Linked DNA regions of Macaca mulatta. Each later gene encodes a partner of the first gene's protein in a complex. Links are inferred from orthologs where the notes say so. Each region holds a gene or a part of one and is shown in the gene's direction. Other genes may lie near its edges.

What was found.
Region 2: MBTD1 (region 1) and ING3 share a complex: the UniProt entries of both Homo sapiens proteins name them as parts of the nuA4 histone acetyltransferase complex. The link is inferred for Macaca mulatta from reciprocal best matches to the Homo sapiens genes MBTD1 and ING3.
Region 3: MBTD1 (region 1) and BRD8 share a complex: the UniProt entries of both Homo sapiens proteins name them as parts of the nuA4 histone acetyltransferase complex. The link is inferred for Macaca mulatta from reciprocal best matches to the Homo sapiens genes MBTD1 and BRD8.
Region 4: MBTD1 (region 1) and VPS72 share a complex: the UniProt entries of both Homo sapiens proteins name them as parts of the nuA4 histone acetyltransferase complex. The link is inferred for Macaca mulatta from reciprocal best matches to the Homo sapiens genes MBTD1 and VPS72.

What each region holds. Positions count from the first base shown.
Region 1 is NC_133421.1:58,808,140-58,813,628, forward strand, and holds part of MBTD1 (MBT domain-containing protein 1), read left to right. Parts: exon of another isoform or gene 1-338; intron 339-2,011; coding exon 2,012-2,159; intron 2,160-3,858; coding exon 3,859-3,941; intron 3,942-4,350; coding exon 4,351-4,585; coding exon of another isoform or gene 4,586-4,620; exon of another isoform or gene 4,621-5,081; coding exon 5,082-5,159; intron 5,160-5,489. UniProt on the Homo sapiens protein: Chromatin reader component of the NuA4 histone acetyltransferase complex, a multiprotein complex involved in transcriptional activation of select genes principally by acetylation of nucleosomal histones H4 and H2A.
Region 2 is NC_133408.1:160,719,343-160,725,377, forward strand, and holds the start of ING3 (inhibitor of growth protein 3), read left to right. Parts: upstream 1-2,536; 5' UTR 2,537-2,656; coding exon 2,657-2,684; intron 2,685-2,923; coding exon 2,924-2,995; intron 2,996-5,065; coding exon 5,066-5,166; intron 5,167-6,035. UniProt on the Homo sapiens protein: Component of the NuA4 histone acetyltransferase (HAT) complex which is involved in transcriptional activation of select genes principally by acetylation of nucleosomal histones H4 and H2A.
Region 3 is NC_133411.1:147,031,786-147,037,894, reverse strand, and holds the start of BRD8 (bromodomain-containing protein 8), read left to right. Parts: upstream 1-2,093; 5' UTR 2,094-2,135; coding exon 2,136-2,154; intron 2,155-3,078; coding exon 3,079-3,175; intron 3,176-6,109. Other genes in the region: kinesin-like protein KIF20A, read right to left, coding at 909-1,073. UniProt on the Homo sapiens protein: May act as a coactivator during transcriptional activation by hormone-activated nuclear receptors (NR). Isoform 2 stimulates transcriptional activation by AR/DHTR, ESR1/NR3A1, RXRA/NR2B1 and THRB/ERBA2.
Region 4 is NC_133406.1:115,897,268-115,903,379, forward strand, and holds the start of VPS72 (vacuolar protein sorting-associated protein 72 homolog), read left to right. Parts: upstream 1-2,035; 5' UTR 2,036-2,071; coding exon 2,072-2,188; intron 2,189-3,524; exon of another isoform or gene 3,525-3,864; intron 3,865-5,567; exon of another isoform or gene 5,568-5,978; intron 5,979-6,112. UniProt on the Homo sapiens protein: Deposition-and-exchange histone chaperone specific for H2AZ1, specifically chaperones H2AZ1 and deposits it into nucleosomes.

The sequences.
Region 1 (5,489 bases):
TACTGCAGGAAAAAGCCAAAAACAAAAATTAAACAAATAAATAAAAAATATAAAGGAATATTTGGGAGGCAGAGGCAGGAGGATCACTTGAGGCCAGGAATTCAACCCAGCCAACATGGCAAAACCCCATCTGTACTAAAAATACAAAAATTAGTCAGGTGTGGTGGTGAGCACCTGTAATCCCAGCTACTTGGGAGCCTGAGACAGAAGAATTACTTGAACACAGTAGGGGGAGGTTGCAGTGGGCTGAGAATGCATCACTGCACAACAAAGTGATGCATTGGACAACAAAGTTGCACTGGACAACAAAGTGAGACGCCATCTCAAAAAAAAAAAAAGTGTATATAATAATAGATAAAGACAAAAATCAACTGCAAGGAGTTGCGTATATGTAACTTGAATTGAGTCTTTGGGTGAATAGAATTTATTCTACTATTCTATAACTTTGAACCTATTTTAAAGTAAAAAAAAATTTTTTTTCCCCCTTTGAGACAGTCTCGCTCTGTCGCCCAGGCTGGAGTGCAGTGGCATGATCTCGGCTCATTGTAACCTCCGCCTCCCAGGTTCAAGCAATTCTCCCTGCCTCAGCCTCCCAAGTAGCTGGGATTACAGGCGCCTGCACCATGCCTGGCTAATTTTTGTATTTTTAGTAGAGACAGGGTTTCACCATGTTGGCCAGTCTGGTCTCGAACTCCTGACCTCAGGTGATCTGCCTACCTTGGCCTCCCAAAGTGCTGGGATTATAGGCATGAGCTACCGCGCCCGGCCAAAATATTTTTAATATAATGGAAATTGGGAACATTAGAATATAAGAGATGGTCTTTTGAAAGCAAAATTCCAATGGTAATAGGACAAGATGGGGAAGTTTATCTTAGTTTTAAAGAGTGGGGGCAGCCTGGCCAAGGTGGGTGGGTCACCTTAGGTCAGGAGTTCCAAGACCAGCCTGGCCAACGTGATGAAACCCCATCTCTACTAAAAATACAAAAATCAGCTGGGCATGCTAGCACATGCCTGTAATCCCAGCTACTTGGGAGGCTGAGGCAGGAGAATCACTTGAACCCGGGAGGCAGAGGTTGCAGTGAGCCAAGATCAACCCATTGCACTTCAGCCTAGGTGACAAGGGAAACTCCGTCTCAAAAAAAAAAAAAGGCGGAGTGGGGACAGCCGGGAGTGGTGGCTCATGCCTATAATCCCAACACTTTGGGAGGCCAAAGCAGAAGGATCACTTGAGCCTAGGAGTTTGAGACCAGCCTGAGCAACATGGTGAGACCCCATCTCTACAAAATAAAAATTAAAAAATTAGCCAAGTGTGATGGTGTGCACCTGTAGTCCTAGCTACTCAGGAGGCAGAGACAGAAGCTACTTGAGCCGGGGAGGTCAAGGCTGCAGTGGGCCATGTTTGCACCATTGCACTCCAGCCTGAATGACAGAGCAAGACCTTGTCTCAAAAAGGGGGAGTGGGTTACTTGTTACAACAGTCTCTGAGGCGTGAAGAAACAAACAAGAGGACCCTTAACGTGGACCAGCCTTAGCATCTGCCATAGAGGAGTATGGTTATCTGTAGCATAAAAGAGATGAAGTTGGAGGTTGAAGAAAGTGGAGACGGTTTGTAAAAACTCTATGTGATAAATCAGAAAGAAAGAAGTAAAAGTGATATCAAGTAGGATTTGGAGCCTAGCTGAAACTAGATAGGTAAATTATAAGAGCACTCAGCCCCAGTTTCATGATGCTGCGACAGCAGGCAGCTATAGCCATGGTCAAAGGCACTGCTTTTCCCAGACCTCTGAGGTCAGTTCTAGGTAATCCTGCTTTTATTTCTGGAACACACTAGAATTTACATAGGTTTTTTTCATTAGAACTTCTGTTATTTAACATAACTCAATAGAGAAGCATGTTTCACTTTGAAGAGACCTTTATATAATAGATTTTCCTTTCTTTTAGAATGTCAAAGTATTATTTTTGTAATAGTAGTATCTAATTTCAAGTACTTAGAATTCTCTTAATTTAAAAGGTGCTAGCTGATGGATTCCTGATGATTGGGATCGATGGCTCAGAAGCAGCAGACGGATCTGACTGGTTCTGTTACCATGCAACCTCTCCTTCTATTTTTCCTGTCGGTTTCTGTGAAATTAACATGATCGAACTTACTCCACCCAGAGGTACTTCATCCTAATATAAACACTGGAGTTTAATCTTTACTTTCTTCTTACATGGTTTCCATTTACAACATTTAACACAGCTCTAGATTTCCTGAGTATGTATATAATGTGTGTGGATATACATATACATACAGGAGCTGTAGGTTGCTCTAAAAATATAAAGTACTGTATTCTAGCTTACTTTAATAAATTACAGTAGTATATAATTTTTCCTGAGCATCTGTGTATTTTATAACATGAATTGGTATTCTCAAACTCTGTTGAGTCAGTAATACAGGCTCAACAGGCTATGGCATATATAATTTTTTTTTTCCCCCAGTAAAGACAGGGTCTTACTCTGTTGCCCAGGCTGAAGTGCAGTGGCACAATCATAGCTCACGGTAACTTCCAATTCCTGGGTCCAAGCAATCCTCCCACCTCAGCCTCCCTAGTAGCTGAAACTATAGCTGAAAGGCACAACCATGTCTGACTTTTTTTTTTTTTTTTTCTTTTTTCTTTGTATGTACAGACGGGACTCTCACTGTGTTACCCAGGCTGGTCTTGAAATCCTGGCCTCAAGTGATCCTCCCACTTCAGCCTCCCCAAAGCACTGGGATTAGGAGTGAACCACCACATTTAGCTATGTGGACTTTTTTTTTTTTTTTTTTGAGACAGTCTCGCTCTGTCACCCAGGCTGGAATGCAATGATGCTATCTCACCTCTTTACAGCCTCCACCTCCCAGGTTCAAGTGATTCTTGTGCCTCCCCTCCCAAGTAGCTGGAATTGCAGGTGTGCACCACCACGCCCAGCTGATTTTTCTATTTTTAATAGAGATGGGGTTTCACCATGTAGGCCAGGCTCATCACAAACTCCTGGTCTCAAATGATCTGCCCACCTTGGCCTCCCAACGTGCTGGGATTATAGGTGTGAGCCACTGCACCCAGCCCTATGTGGACTTATAAAAGGATGGCTGTTTTACTCATGGTTTAACCAGTCATTTTCCAAATTTTAATACTTGAGCATTAAGTTGTTCCTCTAAGAAAGGAGGAAAGCTATAACAGAGGTCTATAAACATGGCATTTGCTCAGCCAGTTTTCTTTCTTGCAAGGAAAGAAAAATATCACTCCATAGTATTAGGTGCTAGACTCTTCTAAAGCCTAGGATTGAAAGAGCAAGTGTACCCTTGTAGTAAACAGAAAAAGAGAGCCACTTTTGCGTTACACTAAGTGGGCGTACCAGTGTTTCTAGAAAGGGGAGGGAAATCTGTGTAACATGGAAGAATTATTGCACTAGCAGTATAAATCATATAGGCCAGGTGCAGTGGCTCACGCCTGTAATCCCAGCACTTTGAGAGACTGAGGCAGGAGGATTGCTTGAGACCAGAAGTTTGAGAACAACCTGAGCAACATAGGGAGACCTTGTCTCTACTAAAAACAACAAAAAATTAGCCTGTCACAGTGGCATGCACGTGTATTCGCAGCTACTAGAGAGGCTGAGGCAGGAGAATCACTTGAGCCCTGGAGGTTGAGGCTGCAGTAAGTCGTTGAGAGCACTACTGCACTCCAGCCTGGGTGACAGAGCAAGACCCTGTCTCAAAAAAAATAAAATTGATCATGTAACCTATGCTCTTAAGATTTTGTATACTGTTACTTTTTGTCTGCATTTTAATATTATGCTAATTTTAAATGAACTGCTAGTTAAACCAGTTGTGTTTTTTAGGTTACACAAAACTTCCTTTTAAATGGTTTGACTACCTCAGGGAAACTGGCTCCATTGCAGCACCAGTAAAACTATTTAATAAGGTAAATTTAAATGGCAGCATAATTATGTGAGGACTTATTAATGCCCCACAAATACAATTTATGTTCATAAAAATGTCTTTGCTTTATATTAGAATTTCTCATTGGAGATGTAATATAAACAGATATATAGCAATGAAACAATATGAATATTTTCTTTACCTAGGAATCAAAACTTGTTTCCAAACTATGTTTCATGTTTAATCCGAATGAAAATGAAATGAATACTTTTCCTAACTAGTTTTTCAATGCTTCACCTTCATATTATGTTTAAATAGTTAAAGAATTATTTGGAATTTTTGGTTTAAATTATGTTATTTACCTTGTCGCGTCTGTTTTTTGCTTTCTTAATGGTAGTAGGGTTGCGCATTCTTTCTTTATACCAATATTAATGTTTTCTTCTCTGTGTCAGGATGTTCCAAATCACGGATTTCGTGTAGGAATGAAATTAGAAGCAGTAGATCTCATGGAGCCACGTTTAATATGTGTAGCCACAGTAACTCGAATTATTCATCGTCTCTTGAGGATACATTTTGATGGATGGGAAGAAGAGTATGATCAGTGGGTAGACTGTGAGTCCCCTGACCTCTATCCTGTAGGGTGGTGTCAGTTAACTGGATATCAACTACAGCCTCCAGCATCACAGTGTAAGTTGGTATACAGAAAAGGTGTCCTTTTGTAAAAATCAGCAATTCTCCAGAGGACTATCTCACATAAGTCATCTTTTGAGCTCACAGGACAAGAATATACCTATGTCTGATTGGTTGCCAGGTAAGACATTAAGACTCAACAACAATATCACAGAATCAGACCATGTGTACCATGGCAGTGTGAATCCAATAGTCAGTTACATAATGACTATAGAAACACAACAGTCACCAAATTAAACTAGACTTACTATTTTAGTGAGTTAAAAATTACAGACTAAAAGTTTATTGGTATGTAATAAATGGTTTTGAGTAAATAGTGGAATCTGTCTCGTTTTGAGGCTGTGGTTTTGTAGGAACAAGTATCCTTATTTTCAGACCATGATGTACTTAAATAAGTCTTGGTAAAGATAGTTCATCTAAGTTGTATCTAGACAACTGTATCATCTAAATTGTAAACAATTATCTGGTACCAATTTTCCTTTTTATTTTTCAGCATCAAGAGAAAACCAATCAGCTTCATCAAAACAGAAGAAAAAGGCTAAGTCCCAGCAATACAAAGGACATAAGAAAAGTGGGTCACCACGTGGTGTTCACATACATTTTCTAATTGTTAACTAATTGGAGTCACAGTGTTCTTGGACAGAAAATGCTATCTCTTGTGAGAACTGATGATTGTGCGTTATGTATTGTGCTTAAAGGTGCAGTATGCCATAAAAGGCAAACCCTTGCAATAATGAGAAACACTGATGTTTTACTGACAGGAGAAATGATTACCACAGTATTTAAAGTATACATGGTAAAGAATAGAGCCTGTGAATGACTCTTGAAATAATATGTAAAACCTACTAAAATTTAATCCTTTTTAAAAACTTTATTTAAAAAGAAAAATTAGCAGCCGGGT
Region 2 (6,035 bases), on another chromosome or scaffold:
ATTTATTATCTCATTTCCCTTAATATGGAACACTCCCTGAGGAAGCTCAGTTTACACTGAAATGATGGACTTCTATTTATGATAGCATACCATTTTAGCTACTCTGAAAGAGCCACCTGGCGAAAACAACTAAAAGTGCTAGATTTTAAAAAATACACTGATGAACTAGTAGGAAATTAAGGAATTTTCAGAGGTAATATAAAAGGGGAAAAAGAAGGAAAATGAAAATATCCTGAGAAATAAATGCAAGTCAAAGTAGGCTTTTGTTCAGATACTATCTGTCAAGTTCTGGACACCTAGAGCTCTTGCTTTAATAGCTGTGCAGCATGCCAGGGTCAGAAGATAAACCCAAGTATCAGTTCAAAAGGAAGAGTCTTATAGCAGACAAAAATCTGGGACCCCAATGGACTATACGCTCCATGTAAGGGTAAATGACTTATAAGCCTCATGCACAAAATAGGCCAGTAATGAAACGTGTCTTGGCCTTGGAGCCCAGCAAAGAAAGAAAGAAAAAATTCTCCTCTGAGAATCTGTAACAATTCATTTGGGATAGAGGCCCAAATTCAATCTATCTGTGCAATACAATAAACCTCAAGTGGACAATTTAATCTGGTCCTAGGGTTTATGATGTCTCCAAACAAATTGACAAGCAAATTCTAACGCTCTCCAGGAAAACTCAATTTCAACTCCAGCCTCAAAGAATCCTTATGCTTGTAATCCCAGAAACAGGAATTCAGAGTCCAAAATCACAATCCAACAGGAAATAGGCACCATAAGCAAAAGTGCCCATTTCTGAAGCAATAGCGCAAAAAGGCCCACACATTTTTCAATATTAGGTTTAACGGAAACAAGATACAGACTAAATAATTTGTATAAATTAGAAAATGGCTTGAAAAGAGAACCAAATAGAACTTCTAAACCTGAAAAATTCTGAAAATTCTAAAATAAAACATATAAAAGAAAGATTAAGATAAATAAGAGAATAAAGAGAGTAAGTCTTAACGGAAAAAATGAGAAATAAGCAATACTGAAAAGACAATCGTTGAAAATTTTCTAGAATTGTTGCAAGACACCAATCCTGAAATTCGGGAATCCCCTCAAATCCTAAGCATAATTTTAAAAATTTAAGGAAAGAAAAGGGAATAAGGAAGGAATTTAGACTTAGATCACTGCAAAACTGCAAAAAGACGTCAAAGAGATCTTAAAAGCAACCAGAAGGAGGAAGGATGGGAAAGAGGAAAGGAAGAAAGGAGGAAAAGAAGGGAGAAAAAGATTGAAAGTACTTGATTTTAGATGCAAGTAATGAAAAAATTAACTAGAAACTAAAAAATTCTAATTCTTATTCAGATCGAAGTAAGGTTCCGCTGAGATTCATCATGATTCATCATTCACGACAGGGAAGTTTCCTGCTTAAGATGAGTGAAAACCTTGAGTAAGAGTATGTAATGGAGAAGGAAAGCAGGGAACACACACACACAGTTTCAACTGCAATCTGAAAAACAGAAAATGAAAAATAAATTATCAACTAATGACAATTTCCCCAGAAAATCGAAGAGCTAAGAAGAGAGGAAAACAACACCTAGTATTTATTGAATGCAAGAGTTTTTAATAAAAACAATGTAAAAAGAAACTGAGTAGGGACGTACTAACTATATCACAGGAAAACCTTCGCTGGGAGACGTCGAAAAGTAGAAAAAGAACGCCCAAGACAACCAACCTCGAATATGGACTATTTACTCAACATAAAGTTACTGCTATTACAGCCTATTCGAGATGAAGGCTCCATCCGTAATTCATGGCTGCTCACTATGATGATGATGATGATTATTACTATTATTTGTGGGTGCACATTGTATGTATAGATCAATTACATTAGAATGACGATTAGACGGACTGCAAACTACAATATGTAAGTGGCTATTGACACTATTTGTGCATCTTTTAATCTGGGAAATGCATATTCACTCCACAGTCTCAGTATAAACCATTTCAAAATTACACGTAAGACAACCAGGTGTCTCTCTTATATTTTAGGAGTGAATAATGAGGATAAATTCCAGCAGAGAGTTCTGGTTTAAGTAACCCAAATTCCCCGAACTTTGCTGATTATCCTAGCGTTTAGAACCTTTGCTATTTGCCTGGCACTTCTTGAAACCCATGACTCACAAACGCCGGGGCATGGAATCACAGCAAAGAACAGGTGAAAAGTTGTTCCTAGTTGTGTTATGCAGGCGCACACAACTCCCGCCATTCTCTGTGCAAAAATCAACAAATAAACAGAGGCACCGCATTTCGGATTCTGTTACGCACTGTTTGCAATGGCGCCTGGTATTGGTAGTTTCTACGAGGGGAGCCGCCAGCGCGCCAACCCTTGCTCAGCAGGAAGAAAACTACATTTCCCACAAAGGCACGGGGGCGAACACCGGCCGGCTTACGTCATTCCTTTAACCAACCAATAGCAGTTCCGGGCGGCAGTGAGGCAAGCGCCGTCAGGCGCCAAAGTGGTTTTTTTTTTTTTCTCTTTTTTTTTTTTTTGCCGGAGTCGAGCGGGTGCTGCTAGCGGAGGCGCCATATTGGAAGGGACAAAACTCCGGCGACAGCGAGTGACACAAATAAACCCCTGGACCCCCTTGTTCCCTCAGCTCTAAGGGCCGCGATGTTGTACCTAGAAGACTATCTGGAAAGTGAGTGCGCGGCGCTGGCGGCGGCCGCCGGTGGGACCTGCGGGAGGGCAAGAGCGCGAGTGGACGGGCAGCGAGATGGCGGGAGGGAGGGGGCGGCGGGGGATGTTTCTCTCTCACGGTAACTGGCAGCCTCGTTGTGGGCTGCCGGCCCCCTCGACCCCCCTGACGCACGCGCGCAGTGACGTAAGCGCGTATTTCGCCGTTGGCCCCGCCCCTCTGACGGACTCTCCCTTTGACAGTGATTGAGCAGCTTCCTATGGATCTGCGGGACCGCTTCACGGAAATGCGCGAGATGGACCTGCAGGTGCAGAGTAAGTCGGCGCGTCTGCTCTTCATGTTGGCTGCGCGCGTTCAGTGCCAGACTTGCTTTTCATCACTGCTAGCGCCTAATGCTCTTTCACTGTCCTCTGGCTCACTCCGCTAGTGCATAAGGAGTTGTCAAAAAGAACTGGCAGCCCTGAATCTCGCCTTTTCCTTCCCTCCCATGCTACTTTTTTCTGGCTTTTGCAAGAGGAGGCGGCATTGGGACAGGTGTATTCCTTTCTAGAATGTAGGATTGTGCAAAAAATATTTCTCTACCGTCATTGAGATAGTTATCTATGTTTCAATGCACGTCAGCATAATAAATGTTGAGATGTTGTCTTGAGCCTTTTCGTATCGAACTTAGATTTCAGCATTTATACTTATTTTAAAGTTCATCCTATTCAGTTTTTCAAGAGTGGAGAGCATAGAAGCACAGGTTATATATAGCTCTTTAGAGACCCTGGCGAATGTCAAATTTTGAAAACTTAGTTACACATTATAAGGTACATTTTAAATTGTAACAGAATCGTCATTTTCTTGGTTATAATGAGTGACAGAAATTAGATTTCACTGTAAAGTTTCATATGTGCTGTACTAAAAATTTTAGCAGTTAGTGAACATTTATTTTTCTTTCAGTGATAGCTTGGTAGTCTCTGTGACTTTTTCCCCAAATTAACTTTACTCTTTCGTAGAGCAAGGACTATAAATAGGTGGCTTAGGGACCACTTGCTGCAGCTAAGAACCTGTCCTTTTCACTGCCCCTGTCTTCTCTGCCCGTGACCACACACCCACTTCTATACCCTTTGTTTATGCGTATATTTTTCCAGTAAGTTTCAGGTGGCACATAATAAAAAGTGGTGGCATGGAAGCCACCTTCTGTTCAGTGGATTGTGGTATGAAGTATGAATTGTGTGTGTGGTTCTCCAGCTATCTCACAAATTCATTTTAATTTTAGTGTAGTCGAAATGCTAAAGATTTGCTGAAGTATTTTCTGCAGGACTGAGCATAGACATGGATGTCAGATAGATCTGAGTTTGTTTTAGGGCTTTACTAATTTACTCATTGACTCTGACTGTATTACCACTTGTGTGGGGCTTTCATTGTCTGTAAAAAGAGAATCATCTAAGGATTTAAAATATTACAGATGGATTAGAATTTATAGTATCTGATACAAAGTAGGCATTAAATAAAGGGTAACTTATTTTAAATTTATTTTTATATTTTGTTTAAAATTTTAAATTCTCATAATTTGGGCTTACAGTATACATATTACAGGGTTTTTAAACGTGCATTTCTTTACAGTAACGAATTTTCTGAAGTTAATAGATATTATGGATTAACAGAACAGTGTGCCAAATAAATTCAGAAATGCTTATTTAAACAAAGGAAGATACTGAAAATTAACCATAGTACTTCACAGAGTCTTTAAAAGGCTATTGTGGACTGAAAATCTCCAAAAGAAGTATGCTATGAAAAGATTTTTCTCAACTTACGTAACAACAGAATCCTTTTTATTAATTTTTCCTTTTTTTTAAGCAGACATCCAATGAGATGATTAGTCTTAGCACTTAATTTGGGGAAAATTTATCTAGAATTAATGTTTAAATGATTGCACCTACTACTTTCAGTTGGGATATGACATGATGAGATGTTTAATGCCTTATACCAAATCTTTTTATCACTTTTTCTTGTTGAAAGAAATGTGAGGATTATCTAATGGTGTTTTCATTGTGTTTTGGTACATTTGTCTGATTAACACCTATAGCTTTTGACCCCAAGGCTGTATTGCTCAAAAATTATAGGATAGAGCCGATCTACTTTGTTGACTCTACTTTGGCTATTGGAAAAAATTTTGAAATAACAAAAACAAAAATAATCTGTCAATAAGGAAAATTGTAACTTTTTAAAGGAAGGTAATTGAGGCTTTATATATTTACATAATCAAAGCATAACATATTTAAGTTACTGGCAAAGTGAAAGAGTATATATTGTCAGATTTTTTTCCCTCCCTAAATCAAACCATGTATATTTAGTATATGAATTTGGTCATTTAATATGATTTTTTTATTATGTCATAGATGCAATGGATCAACTAGAACAAAGAGTCAGTGAATTCTTTATGAACGCAAAGAAAAATAAACCTGAATGGAGAGAAGAACAAATGGCATCCATCAAAAAAGTATGTGCGACACTTTGGATAATTTATCAAGAAATATTGGGACCCTCTGAAAAAGATATTTCAAAATTAAATAGTGATCTGGATATCAAAATAAGGGAATATTATCAATGACTCTTTAGAATGTAAATAATTTAGTGTGGTTTAGAGCTTCAGATAGCGATTTTTAGTCATTAAAGCATTTTGGTAATTAAAAATATTGTTTCAATAATTAGTGACTATTAGAAAGTGACAGACCATTTAAAAGTTACATTTTTTTTCTATTTGTTTTATTCTAGTTGTGTATGATTAATGTTGAGTCATTTCCAGAGATGGAGTACTGTATTCCAGTTTTGTCCACAAACTAGCGTAAATAAACATCAGCAGACCTTGAAGAATATTTTATATATTGCTAGGTACTTGAATTAGTGGACCCACAGAAGAACAAAATCTTAAAAGTTAGAAGGAACTTAAGAAAGCCTTTTAGTTAAAAACTCCAAATTTGCACGTGAATTGGTCTGGAAACATAGAATTCTTTGAGGTTTTGTTAGTTTTATAGTGGTTATAGCTGTCTTCCAGAACTGAGTGAGTATACACTCACATCTCAAAGTTTGCTTTACAAATATGATCCAGTTCATTCCGGGATGGATACATTTGAAGAACAACTGAAAATACTTGAGTTTGGTCATGACTCTGCTATTTAGCTGTGTGACATTAAATCTTGATATTTCTGACTAATAATGCCTTCCGAAACCCAGTGTTCATAGAATTGTTCAAGGATCAACTAAGAGGCCGGACCTGGTGCCTCACACCCATAATCCTAGCACTTTGGGAAGCTGAGGCGGGTGGATAACCTGAGGTCAGGAGTTCGAGACCAGCTTAGCCAACCTGGT
Region 3 (6,109 bases), on another chromosome or scaffold:
GTGCCACTGCACTCCAGCCTGGGCGACAGAGCGACACTCCATCTCAAAAACAAACAAACAAGCAAACAAACAAAAAACCCCAAAAAAACAAAAAAACCCGCAGATATTTAGAGTGCCTACTATGCCCTAGGAACTGAGAAGCTCTGATAGTCCATAGTGAGAGACATTATCAAGGACCATGCTGTCATGGAACTTTTTAAGTCTCTAAGAGAAACTCTATAAAAGCACAAAATGTGACAATGTATGTTAATGTTTAGCATAGGACCTAGTACAGTGTTTCTCAACCAGGGTCATTTCCACTCCAAAGGCCATTTAAGCAATGCCTGAAGTGCCTGAAGACATTTTTTGATTGTCACAAATGGGAAGGCACTACTGACATCTAGTGGGTAGATGTCAGGAATGCTGTTAAACATCTTACAATATACAGGACAGATCCCTACAAGAACTGTCTAGCCCCAAATGTCAACAATGCTGTGATGGAGAAACCCTGGCCTAGCAGGAAAGCTACAACAAATTGAAGCTATGGTGATACTATCAAAACCTGAACATACATTCCACTTACATAATGCCTATATGACCTTGTGCAAATTATTTAGCACAACTGGGCCTCAAGGCAAAGAGAGATAACTATTATTTCCTGATTAACTGAGAGCATGCACTTGAGGGTATTTCATTAATGCAATGCAAATAATAGTTCTTCTGGACACACAACTCTTAATTTTTTTTTTACTTGTCATGCCCTTAATTTTTTTTTCTTTTCGTAGCCATTTTGTCCTACATGCCCCTAATTTTGAATTGATCTCTCAAACCTTCAGGATTGCTAGTCTTTGACCTCATACTACCGTGTATGGACAACTATTGACCTGAGGATGTCACTTTCTGCCCCAGCCACTCCCCAGTTCCTTTACCTGCTGCTTGTCCTCTAGGGAGGTAGAGATGACAGAGCAGTCTGACAGCAGGTTCTTGCGTACCACAGACCCCAAATCTGCAGCTGTGGACTCAAACATGGGAGAGACTACGACATCGTCATCGGACAGCAAGCCCGCTGGCGGAGAAAGGATCCCTTGCGACATGACGGCAGGGGCAGCCTAGGTCTAAAAAGAGACCAAAAAGTGGGCAGGGAGAAGAACCTTTAGGGACAGAAGGGGCCGCGAATTTTAGGTAATAAGTCCCTTGCCCCAGGACACCGGGTCCCGCTCCCTACTTCCTTTCCCCTCTAATTATCGGCAAAGGGGAAGGGAATGAGAGAAGTTCACTTAATGAACAATCGAGAGAAGTTTGAGGTTGCATTTCTGAAAGCGAACAGAAGTCCACAGAAATCTGGCTCCAAAAGCAAAAGGCCAGGCCTAAAGTAGGGCACCTCGCCCGCCGGTGCTGTGGAGGTGGTGTCAGGATCCCTCGGCTCCTTTTCTAACCTCAAGGACCACCGTGAGAACAGAGATGCAGCATTAAGAGAAAAACAGATGGCTGCAGTTCCGATTTCTTAAAGCCTATTCCGCGTGGGCAAGAGCTGGTAACCCGGGCTCCAGCACAGCCGCACACTCACCCGAAGACGTGCCACTTGCTCCTCCTCGGGTACCGGCTCACTCACACCTAGTCGCCGAACCTGGACTTTCGCAGCCGGAGAGCACAACTCCGCCCACGAGGTGCAGCTTTGTTACCGATACAATATTTTAAATTACGCGCTGCGTTCGTTCGGCCAATGAGATAGGGAAGTCTGCAGCTACCAATCCGCGTAAGGAAAAGGGGCGGGTCCGACTGGAATTCCAGTAGTTTGCATCCGCTTGACCTCTCAGATCTAATGTGGGTCCGGGTTACCAACTGTCGCGGGTTAGGAGTTATTTCGCTTGGGATTCTTCCAGCTTAACCCTTTTTCTTGAACCTTAGACATTTCTTACCTAAGAACCCTAAAGGAAATCTTGAGGCTTCAGCCGCCAACCCCTGTCCTTCCTTAGCAAAAATCTTAAAAGGATTGCACAAGATAACTGGTTTAGGGTGCTTGCTTTGTCTTAGGGGAAAAAACGACATTTCCCAGGAGGCACCGCGAACCAACGCCGGTACTCTACTTCCCAGAATTCCAGGGTTTCGGCCCTACCAGACCGTCTCTCCTCAGGGTTGGAGACTTCGGGGCCAAGATGGCGACGGGAACGGGCAGTGAGTATCTGAGCAGGTTTTGCGTGAAAGGCGTTTGTAGATCCGAGGCTAGGCACCATATTTTTGTTACACGCTTAGGGAGTGGGAGAAGTGGTTTGCTTGAGAGCTCAGGGTTTTCAGAGACCTGCGCTCCACAGCATCGTGAAGACCAACGTTTGGGGGCCCAGAAATCTGGGGTCTTGTTTCTCAGGGAGGGAGCGGAGGTGTGAGAGAAGGAGCTTAGTGAATCCTAGTGTGTTAGGAGCCCTTCGGGGTAACCGTAAAAGCACTCTAGAAACTTGGGCGTGCAGACGAAAAGATGTTATGAGCCAGACGGAGTAACCGGCACCTCAAAGAGCCATTCATTTTTTGTTCGACGTTTGTGAGGCAGTGGAAGTGGGGCCTTTTAACCATGAGCTTTTCTTGCCACTCAGGAAATTGCATCTCGGGGATTTCAGCCATTTTTCTTTTAGTGGACTGAAAAGGTCTTTTAGGCCCGACATTTGGAGTAGAGGATCTGAGAGAAGTAAACAAGTTTATGCTAAGAGGGAGGCGGGGTTGTAGGAGGGGCTGGCCGCTCGGGTTCCTGGGAAATAAGCCCTGAATGAGTTCAAACTGGAATAAAGTCCAGTGTTCTTAAAACTGGGCTTTTAGGGAGAACTGCCTAATCTGACATTCCCAATTTTTTAATAAAGCGGAGCTTCAAGCCGTGGCGTTTTAAGAAATAAAATGTTAATAATTCACATGCAACAAATTGGTACCACGGTCACTGGTGATACTTCACTTGGAGAGGTGAAAATCAAGATTTGGTGATAGTAGCTCACTTTGTCCTAACAAGTTGGAATATTTTGTATTAGGCTTTTAGTCCCCTTTTTGGGGATTTTGGAGCTTAGCACTACAGTCTCAGTGGTTGCTTCCAAGGCTTTTTTTTTTTTCGTTTCCCAGAACACAAGCTGCTGAGTACTGGCCCCACAGAGCCATGGTCCATCCGAGAGAAGCTGTGTTTAGCATCTTCTGTCATGAGAAGTGGAGATCAAAATTGGTAAGCTATCTAGGATGTCAGCTTTTCTGGGTCTTAGAAATTGTTAGATACTCTTTCACATTGATAGATTTCTGTAGTTAATCATATTAAGCTGTAAGTAGACTTTTTCTTCTTCCCTTTTTTTTTTTTTTTTTTTTTTGAGACAGTCTCCTTCTCTCGCCCAGGCTGGAATGCAGTGGTGCAGCCACGCCCAGCTAATTTTTTTAGTTTTTAGTAGAGACAGAGTTTCGCCATGTTGGCCAGGCTGGTCTCGAACTCCTGACCTCAGGTGATCCACTGGCCTCAGCCTCCCAAAGTGCTAGGATTACAGGCGTAAGCCACTGCGCCTGGCCATGCCTGGCTAATTTTGTATTTTTAGTAGAGACAAGGTTTCACCATGTTGGCCACGCTGGTCTCAATCACCTGACCTCATGATCTGCCCGCCTCGGCCTCCGAAAGTGCTGGGATTACAGGCGTGAGCCACTGCTGCCGGCCTTTTTTTTTTTTTTTGAGACAGGGTTGCACTTTGTGGCCCAGGCTGGAGTGCAGTGGTGTGATCTTGGCTCACTGCAACCTCCATGTCTGAGGCTCAAGTGATCCTCCCACCTCAGCCTCTTTAGTAGCTGGGACTACAGGTGCACACCACCATGCCCAGATAATTTTTTGTATTTTTTTGTAGAGATAGGGGTTTCATCATGTTTCCTAGGCTGGTCTTGAACTCCTGGGTTCAAGCGATCTGCCCACCTCAACCTCCCAACCTACTGGGATTACGGGTGTGAGCCACCAGGCCAGCTGTATTTTTTTTTTTAAACAGCTTTATTGAGATATAATTCACATACTATAAAATTAACTTACTTAAGATGTACAATATAATGGTTTTTAGTATATTCACAGTTGTGCAGCCATTACCACAATCTAATTTTAGAACATTTTCTTTATTTTTATTTTTTTTATTTTTTATTTTTTGAGGCTCTTGCTTTGTTGCCCAGGCTGGAGTGCAGTGGCGCAATCTTGGCTCACTGCAAGTTCCGCCTCCTGGGTTCATGCCATTCTCCTGCCTTAGCCTCTCGAATATCTGGGACTACAGGCGCCCGCCACCACGCTCAGCCTATTTTTTTTTATTTTTAGTAGAGACGGGCTTTCACCATGTCAGCCAGGGTGGTCTTGATCTCCTGACCTCGTGATCAGCCCACCTCGGCCTCCCAAAGTGCTGGGATTACAGGAGTGAGCCACCGCATCTGGCTGACATAACGCTTTTAAGGTTCATTCTTATATAGCAGGTATCAATACTTAATTCCTTTTTTAGCTGAATAATAATCTGTTATATGAATATACCAAATTTTGTTTATCCATCGCTTGATAGACAATTGGGTTGTTTCCACTTTTTGACCATTATGAATAATGCTGATGATACGCACATTTGTGTACAAGGTTGTGGACAATGTTTTTAATTCTCTTGAGTTTTTTATTCAAGGAGTGAAATTGCTGGGTTATGTAGTAACTCTATTATGTTCGCTTTTTTTTTTTTGCAGACAGGGTCTCACTGTCACCCAGGCTGGAGTGCAGTGGTGCAATCTTGGTTCACTGCAACCTCTGCCTCCTGGGCTCAAGTGATTCTCCGGCCTCAGCCTCCTGAGTAGCTGGGACTACAGGCACATGCCATCATCCCCGGCTCATTTTTGTATTTTTTGGTAGGGATGGGGTTTTGCCATGTTGCCCAGGCTGGACTTTTTTTTTTTTTTATTTAAATATTTATGTTTTTGTAGAGACGAGGTCCCACTATGTTCCCCAGGCTGGTCTCCAACTCCTGGCCTCAAGTGATCCTCCCAGTTTAGCCTCCTGAGTAGCTGGGACTACAGACCCTTGCCGTCATGCTTGGCTGAATTTTTGGGTTTTTTTGTCACTTGTTGCCCAGGCTGGTCTCGAACTCCTGGGCTCAAGTGATCCTCCCACCTTAGCCCTCGAAAGTGCTAGGATTATAGACGTGAGCCAACACTCCCAGCCTAGAACTGTCATCATTTTACCTTTCTTGGTATCAGCCCCTCACCCCCGTTGTTTTTTTTTTTTGCATCATCCATTATGAATTTAACTCTCTTGCCACATTGATAAACAATTCAGTACTTTGCTGATTGTCATGCTTCCTAGCATTTTGTGTGTGTGTGTGTGTGACGGAGTTTCGCTCTTTTTGCCCAGGCTAGAGTGCAATGGCGCAGTCTTGGCTCACCGCAACCTCCACCTCCCGGGTTCAAGTGATTCTCCTGCTTCAGCCTCCCGAGTAGCTGGGATTACAGGCATGCGCCACCATGCCTGGCTAATTTTGTATTTTTAGTAGAGATGGGGTTTCTCCATGTTGGTCAGGCTGGTCTTGAGCTCCCGACCTCAGGTAATCCACCCGCCTCAGCCTCCCAAAGTGCTGGGATTACAGGCGTGAGCCACCACGCCTGGCCTTGTTTGTTTTTTAAATCTAATTTCTGAAGTAATACGTGGCCACCATAAAAACAAAAACACTATATAAAAAGAGCAACCGCAACAAAGAAATGGGTTAAAAACTTGAGTTTATTTTTTGTCACACATACAGGAAGTCTAGGCAGTCAACAGCTCTCATAGCAACTTCACAGTGACATTAGAGGCTCAGGATCTTCTCTTTCTGTGCCACCTTCCTCAGCACATAGTTTATCTTCTGGTTATCTTATGGTTCACGGTGGCTGCTTGACCTTCAGCTATCACATCCGTGATCCATGCAACAAGAAGGAAGGGGGTTGGTAAGAAAGGTCACATCCCTTCCCTTTTAACAACTTTTTTGTGATATAATTGATGTGCAGTAAACTCTACCTTTTTTTGGGCGGGGGGGGGGGTGGAGTCTCACTCTGTTGCCCAGGCTGGAGTGCAGTGGCGCAATCTTGGCTCACTGGAACCTCTGCCTCCCAGGTTCAAGTGATTCTGCCACCTCAGCCT
Region 4 (6,112 bases), on another chromosome or scaffold:
CTTCCCGAGTAGCTGGGACTGCAGGTGTGTGCCACCACACCCAGTTAATTTTTGTATTTGTAGTAGAGACGGGGTTTCACCATGTTGGCCAGGATGGTCATAATCTCTTGACCCCGTGATCTGCCTGCCTCAGCCTCCCGAAGTGCTGGAATTACTAGGCGTGAGCCACTGTGCCCGGCCCAATTTTGTCTTTTTTTTTTTTTTTTGAGACGGAGTCTCCCTCTGTTTCCCAGGCTGGAGTGCAAATGGCGTGCGATCTTGGCTCACTGCAACCTCCGACTCCCGAGATCAAGCAATTCTCTGCCTCAGCCTCCCGAGTAGCTGGGATTACAGGTGCCCACCACTATGACCAGCTAATTTTTGTATTTTTAGTGGAGATGGGGTTTCACCATCTTGGCCAGGCTGGTCGTGAACTCCTGACCTCATGATCCACACCCTCGGCTTCCCAAAGTGCTGGGATTACAGGTGTGAGCCACAATTTTGTGTCTTTTAACAAATCTGGCCGGGCGCGGTGGCTCAAGCCTGTAATCCCAGCACTTTGGGAGGCCGAGAGGGGCGGATCACGAGGTCAGAAGATCGAGACCATCCTGGCTAACACGGTGAAACCCGTCTCTACTAAAAAATACAAAAAACTAGCGGGGCGAGGTGGCGGGCGCCTGTAGTCCCAGCTACTCGGGAGGCTGAGGCAGGAGAACGGCGTAAACCTAGGCGGCGGAGCTTGCAGTGAGCTGAGATCCGGCCATTGCACTCCAGCCTGGGCGACAGAGCGAGACTCCGTCTCAAAAAAACAACAACAACAACAAAAAAAACAAATCTTTCCCTGTCCCTTCCTTCCCCCTGCACTTCCCAGCCCCCAGTATCATCTGTTCTATTTTTTATTTCTATGAAATCAATTTTTTTAAAGCGTCCACATATGAGTGAGAACACGCAGTGTTTAAATTTCTGTTCGTGGCTTAAGTCAGTTAACGTGTCCTCCAATTCCGTCCATGTTGCTGCAAATGACAGGATTTTGTTCCTTTTAATGGCTAAATAGTATTCATTTGTGTATATACACCTCATTTCCTTTATTCATCTGTTGTTGGACACCTAGATTGATTTCCTATTTTGGTTACTATAAGCAGTGCTGCATTAAATATGGGGGTGCATAAATATGGAGTGCGGACGTCTCTTGGAAATACTGATTTCCTTTTTTTTTTTTTTTTTCCTAAATCAGCTTCCTTATGTTGAATTATGTCCTTTCCTTCGGATAAATGTCTATGGCTGTGTTTTTAACCACAATATTATGCTTTCTTTCTCAAGGATTTTGGACTTTATCTTGTAGATGATGTGGAGCCATTAAAAAATGTTGAGGAGAGGACTGGCAAAATCTGGGTTTTTAGAAAATTTGAAAGTTTCCTACTGGCAGCAGTGTGGAAAACGGACTGGACCGGGGAGAATGACCTCTTCTAAAAGAAAATGTGAGCCTGGCGCGGTGGCTCACGCCTGTAATCCCAGCACTTTGGGAGGCCGAAGCGCGCGGATCACCTGAGGTTAGGAGTTTGAGACCAGCCTGGCCAACATGGTGAAAGCCGTTTCTATTAAAAATACAAAAATTAGCTGGGCATGGTGGCGGGCGCCTGTAATCCCAGCTACTCGGGGAGAATTGCTTCAGCCCGGGAGAGGGAGGTTGCAGTGAGCCGAGATCGTGCCACTGCACTCCAGTCTGGCGACAGAGCGACCCTACGAAAAAAATACATATATGTGTGTGTGTGTGTATATATATATATTAAAAACAAAAATAAATAAAAGAAAATGTGTTGACTTAGGTTTATGCGGGTCGTCGTGCCACCAAGTGGACTCATTGAGCACTAGGGCAAGCGGCCTAGAGGTTCCGCGCAGGAGTAGGAGAGGCTGAAGAGTAAAGAGGGTTTAGAAGGTGGGAGTAGGAGTCTCTCGACACTCTGTTACTTCTGCCTGTAAACGCCCGACTTCCGCCGCTGGTGTCCACCCGCAGGTAGCGGTGTCGAGCGTCGAGCTCCCAGAAGCGAGCTGGTGAGGGGCTGCAGGTGGCGGAGCAGTCTCCTTAGGCGGTATGAGTTTGGCTGGGGGCCGGGCACCCCGGAAGACCGCTGGGAACCGGCTTTCCGGGCTTCTGGAGGCAGAGGAGGAAGATGAGTTCTACCAGACGACTTATGGAGGTTTCACAGAGGCAAGATCCGAGCCTGGGAAAAGGGAGGGGAGGAAGCGAAGAGGAGCCCTGGAGGGAGGATCTCCGGACAAAGAAGAAGAAGGCGGGGAATAGAGCGGAGCTCTGGGAGCTGATACCCTAGATGGGTGCGGTGAATCGGAGCCGGGGGGCGGGGCGGGGCGGGGGGACGGATAGTGTGGAGTCCTACAAGGGAGACCTCTGGATGGGGTCAAAGGGGCATGAGACGGAGAAGCTTTGCGGAGGCACTCCAGAGAACGGCAGAAACCTACCGCATACTTGCGTAGTTCCATCTCTCACTGTACTTCTGACCTCCAGCATACGTCAGGCACACAGATAGTAGTAGTCAGTCGCTGGATGTATACTTGTTGGCCCACTGCCGGATTATTCACCTGAGACATGGAAAGGAACTGCTCCAAAGGTAGAGATTAGCCCACTCCTTTTTCAGCTTTCAAGTCTCAATGTATATGTTTTCTCAGGAAGATAATCCTTCCTTGACTATCCTAACAAGTGTCCCCATTTATTTCTCCCACAGAACATATTTCAGTTTGTAATTAGATTCGGTTTGCTTACTTGCTTATGTTTTCCTATTGCATTGTAAACTGTATAAAGTTAGGGATGGTCTGTTTTGTTCAACATTATGTGTGAGGTGTCCGGACTGGGCTGCCACTTGCTAAATTTTTTTAGTTGAATCTACCCGTTTCTTAAATGTGTTGAATACCCAGTGCATGCCATCGGTGATAGGTTGTATTGGGCTCTAGGGAAACCGAGAATATTAAAAACAGTGCTCTGTCCTTACATACTCCATGCCCCAGTGGGGTAACTGGTTGGGTTAACAGTTAAAATACTGTGTGATAGGAAGGGCACAGTGGCTCACGCATGTAATCCCAGCACTTTGGAAGGCCAAGGCAGGTAGATCACAAGGTCAGGAGATCAAGACCATCCTGGCCAACATGGTAAAACCCCAGTCTCTACTAAAAATACAAAAATTAGCCAGGCGTGGTGGCGTGCGCCTATAGTCCCAGCTACTCAGGAGGCTGAGGCAGAGAATCGCTTGAACCTGGGAGGAGGAGGTTGCAGTGAGCCGAAATCATACCACTGCACTCCAGCCTGGGCGACAGAGCAGGACTCTGTCTCAAAAACAAACAAAATGTGTGATAAGGACTAAAACAAGGTGTAAGATATAAGATAGAGTGTTAAGGTAATACATCTGAACCAAAGCTGTTGATCAGGATAGGCATCCCTGGAGGGATGATGTTTAAGCTGAGGACAGTTTGAAAAGTAGACCTTAGCTTGATGAAAAGTGGGAGAAGGAGAAAGGTAGTCCACAGAGCAGATCGGGGAGAGTATGTAAAGACGTTGAGATCCTGGTCTAGGACCTGCAAGTCTACTTTCATTCTCCAGAGCATGAAGGAGACTAAAGATTGATAAGCCTGGAGGGAGTAGGCATGGGCCAGATCATTAGGGCCTTGTGAGCCATGTTAAGGAGTTTTGCTGTTCATCCAGAGGACTGAGAAGAGTCATCCGAGTTCCACGATAAAATTTGTACTTTAGAAAGATTACTTACTCTGTAATGAGAATGGCTTGAAGGCGGCATGGCAGTAGAGAAACAGAAAGATTGAAGATAAATTAAGGAATAGAACCCACAGGATTTAGGGGCTGAGTGTGGTGGCTCACGCCTGTAATCCCAGCACTTTGGGAGGCTGAGGCGGGTGGATCACAAGGTCAGGAGTTCGAGACCAGCCTGACCAACATGGTGCAACCCTGTCCCTACTAAACATACAAAAAATTAGCTGGGCGTGGTGGCACGCGCCTGTAATCCCAGCTACTAGCTTGAACCTGGGAGGCGGAGGTTTCAGTGGATCACTCCACTGCACTCCAGCCTGGGCGACAGTGAGACTCCGTTTAAAAACAAAAACAAAAACAAAAAACCCCACATCACTGAGTCATTACTGACACAGCCCTGACCAACTAGTTTAAAATAGAACTTTCTCATCCCTCCTCTAAGGCCATTTTCCTATTTCTGTCATTTTACGACTCGTTATTTAATATGTACCCTTCATGCTTCCAACAAGGATTTAAGGAGGCTTACAATATAAACAAAAAGTAGAAACGGTAAAAATAGAGACAGATCAGAAGTAATTGTACCAGGAACCTCTGCTAAAATGGTAATAGCAATTGATATTAAATTTAGCTGTGAGCTTCCTGGTAGCCAAACCTTGTATTTCTTTTTTTAGTAAGAAAGAAGCATACAAGTTGTTCAAGAGAGACAAACTTATTCAGTCTTAAATCCTAGGGAGCATTTATCATTATATCCTTATATTATAAAAAGTAACGGTTTTCGTAGATGATATACAAACATTCTCTTATCTAGTGATGTGTATTAATGACTCAATAAAAGGCAAAGGAATGGTAGTAATTTAGTGCAAGTATTTTGATTGGGCACTAAGCTAATGTGTGGTTGATCTACTACCCTCCGGTGATATGGCTTAATACCAGATTAAGGCTGAGGGGATTAATGTGTTCCCAGGCTGTCTTTTACAGGCATCAATTGGGAGGAAATGATGGTCATCAGTGCAAAATTGAACTCTGGCTGGTTTGGAGGGTCAACCATCTGTGTTATTTGCTTGCTTTGGCATCATGTGTACCAAGATTAGCCCTTTAGTCTGCATCACTGATTGAAGAGAGAGCCACATGTGTGAGGTGTCACCCAGCCCAGTTGACTCCCTCTCCCTCAACTGACTTTTTTCCCTTTTCTTTCTAATATGGCTGCCATTCTAGCCCTAAACAGTATCACCTCAGGTCTAGGCTGTACTTCACATTCTCTACTCAGGCCATCTAACTGCCTCCAGAGCTCTCTGAAATACCCCTTGTACATACTGTTACCCCTCCCCTATATCTTCGGTGGCTCTCCGTTATCCATAGTAGCAGTACTCAGCTGTTTTTCTGTCCCAACACATCTGAGGAATGACACATATTTCTCTCAGTAACTTTAGTTTACATAAACAATGATTATCAATGGTCGGACAAATAAGGAGATGGAGGGGATTGAGAATTATTGGCCTGCAGGTTAAAATTGTGTTTATTAGTGTGACATTTAAGTTTCTCCATAAATGGAATGCAGGAATGCAAACTTCTTTTCTTTTTTTTTTTTTTGAGACGGAGTCTCGCTCTGCTGCCCAGGCTGGAGTGCAGTGGCGCGATATCAGCTCACTGCAAGCTCCACCTCCCGGGTTCACGCCATTCTCCTGCCTCAGCCTCCTGAGTAGCTGGGACTACAGGCATCTGCCACCACGCTTGGCTATTTTTTTCTATTTTTAGTAGAGATGGGGTTTCACCGTGTTAGCCAGGATGGTCTCGATCTCCTGACCTCATGATCCACCCGCCTCGGCCTCCCAAAGTGCAGGGATTACAGGCATGAGCCACTGCGCCCAGCCGCAACCTTCTTTTCAAATCATATAGTCCTACAGTGCAATCAGTGTTGGAAGGAGGCAGTGCTGGAGCGAAACACAGTTGGCTAACAAGGTTTCTTGATAGAGAAAAGTTTTACTTAGATCTAAATCTTTATTCCATAAACATGCTGTACACATTACCATTTCTGCGCCTTTGTTTCTGCTATTTCATCGCCCATGATTCCTTCTTCCCTCTTGACTGTCTAAATACTAACAGTGTTTTCAACCATAGTTTAACTCCTCTTCATGCCTTTTTTTTTTTTTTGAGATAGTGTCTCGCCCTGTCGCCCAGGCTGGAGTGCAGTGGCACTATCTCAGCTCACTGCAACCTATGCCTCCTGGGTTCAGGTGATTCTCCTGCCTCAGCCTCCCAAGTAGCTGGGACTACAGGTGTGCATCACCATGCCCAGCTAATTTTTGTATTTTTAGTAGAGCCAGGGTTTCACCATGTTGGCCAGGCTGATCTCGAACTCTT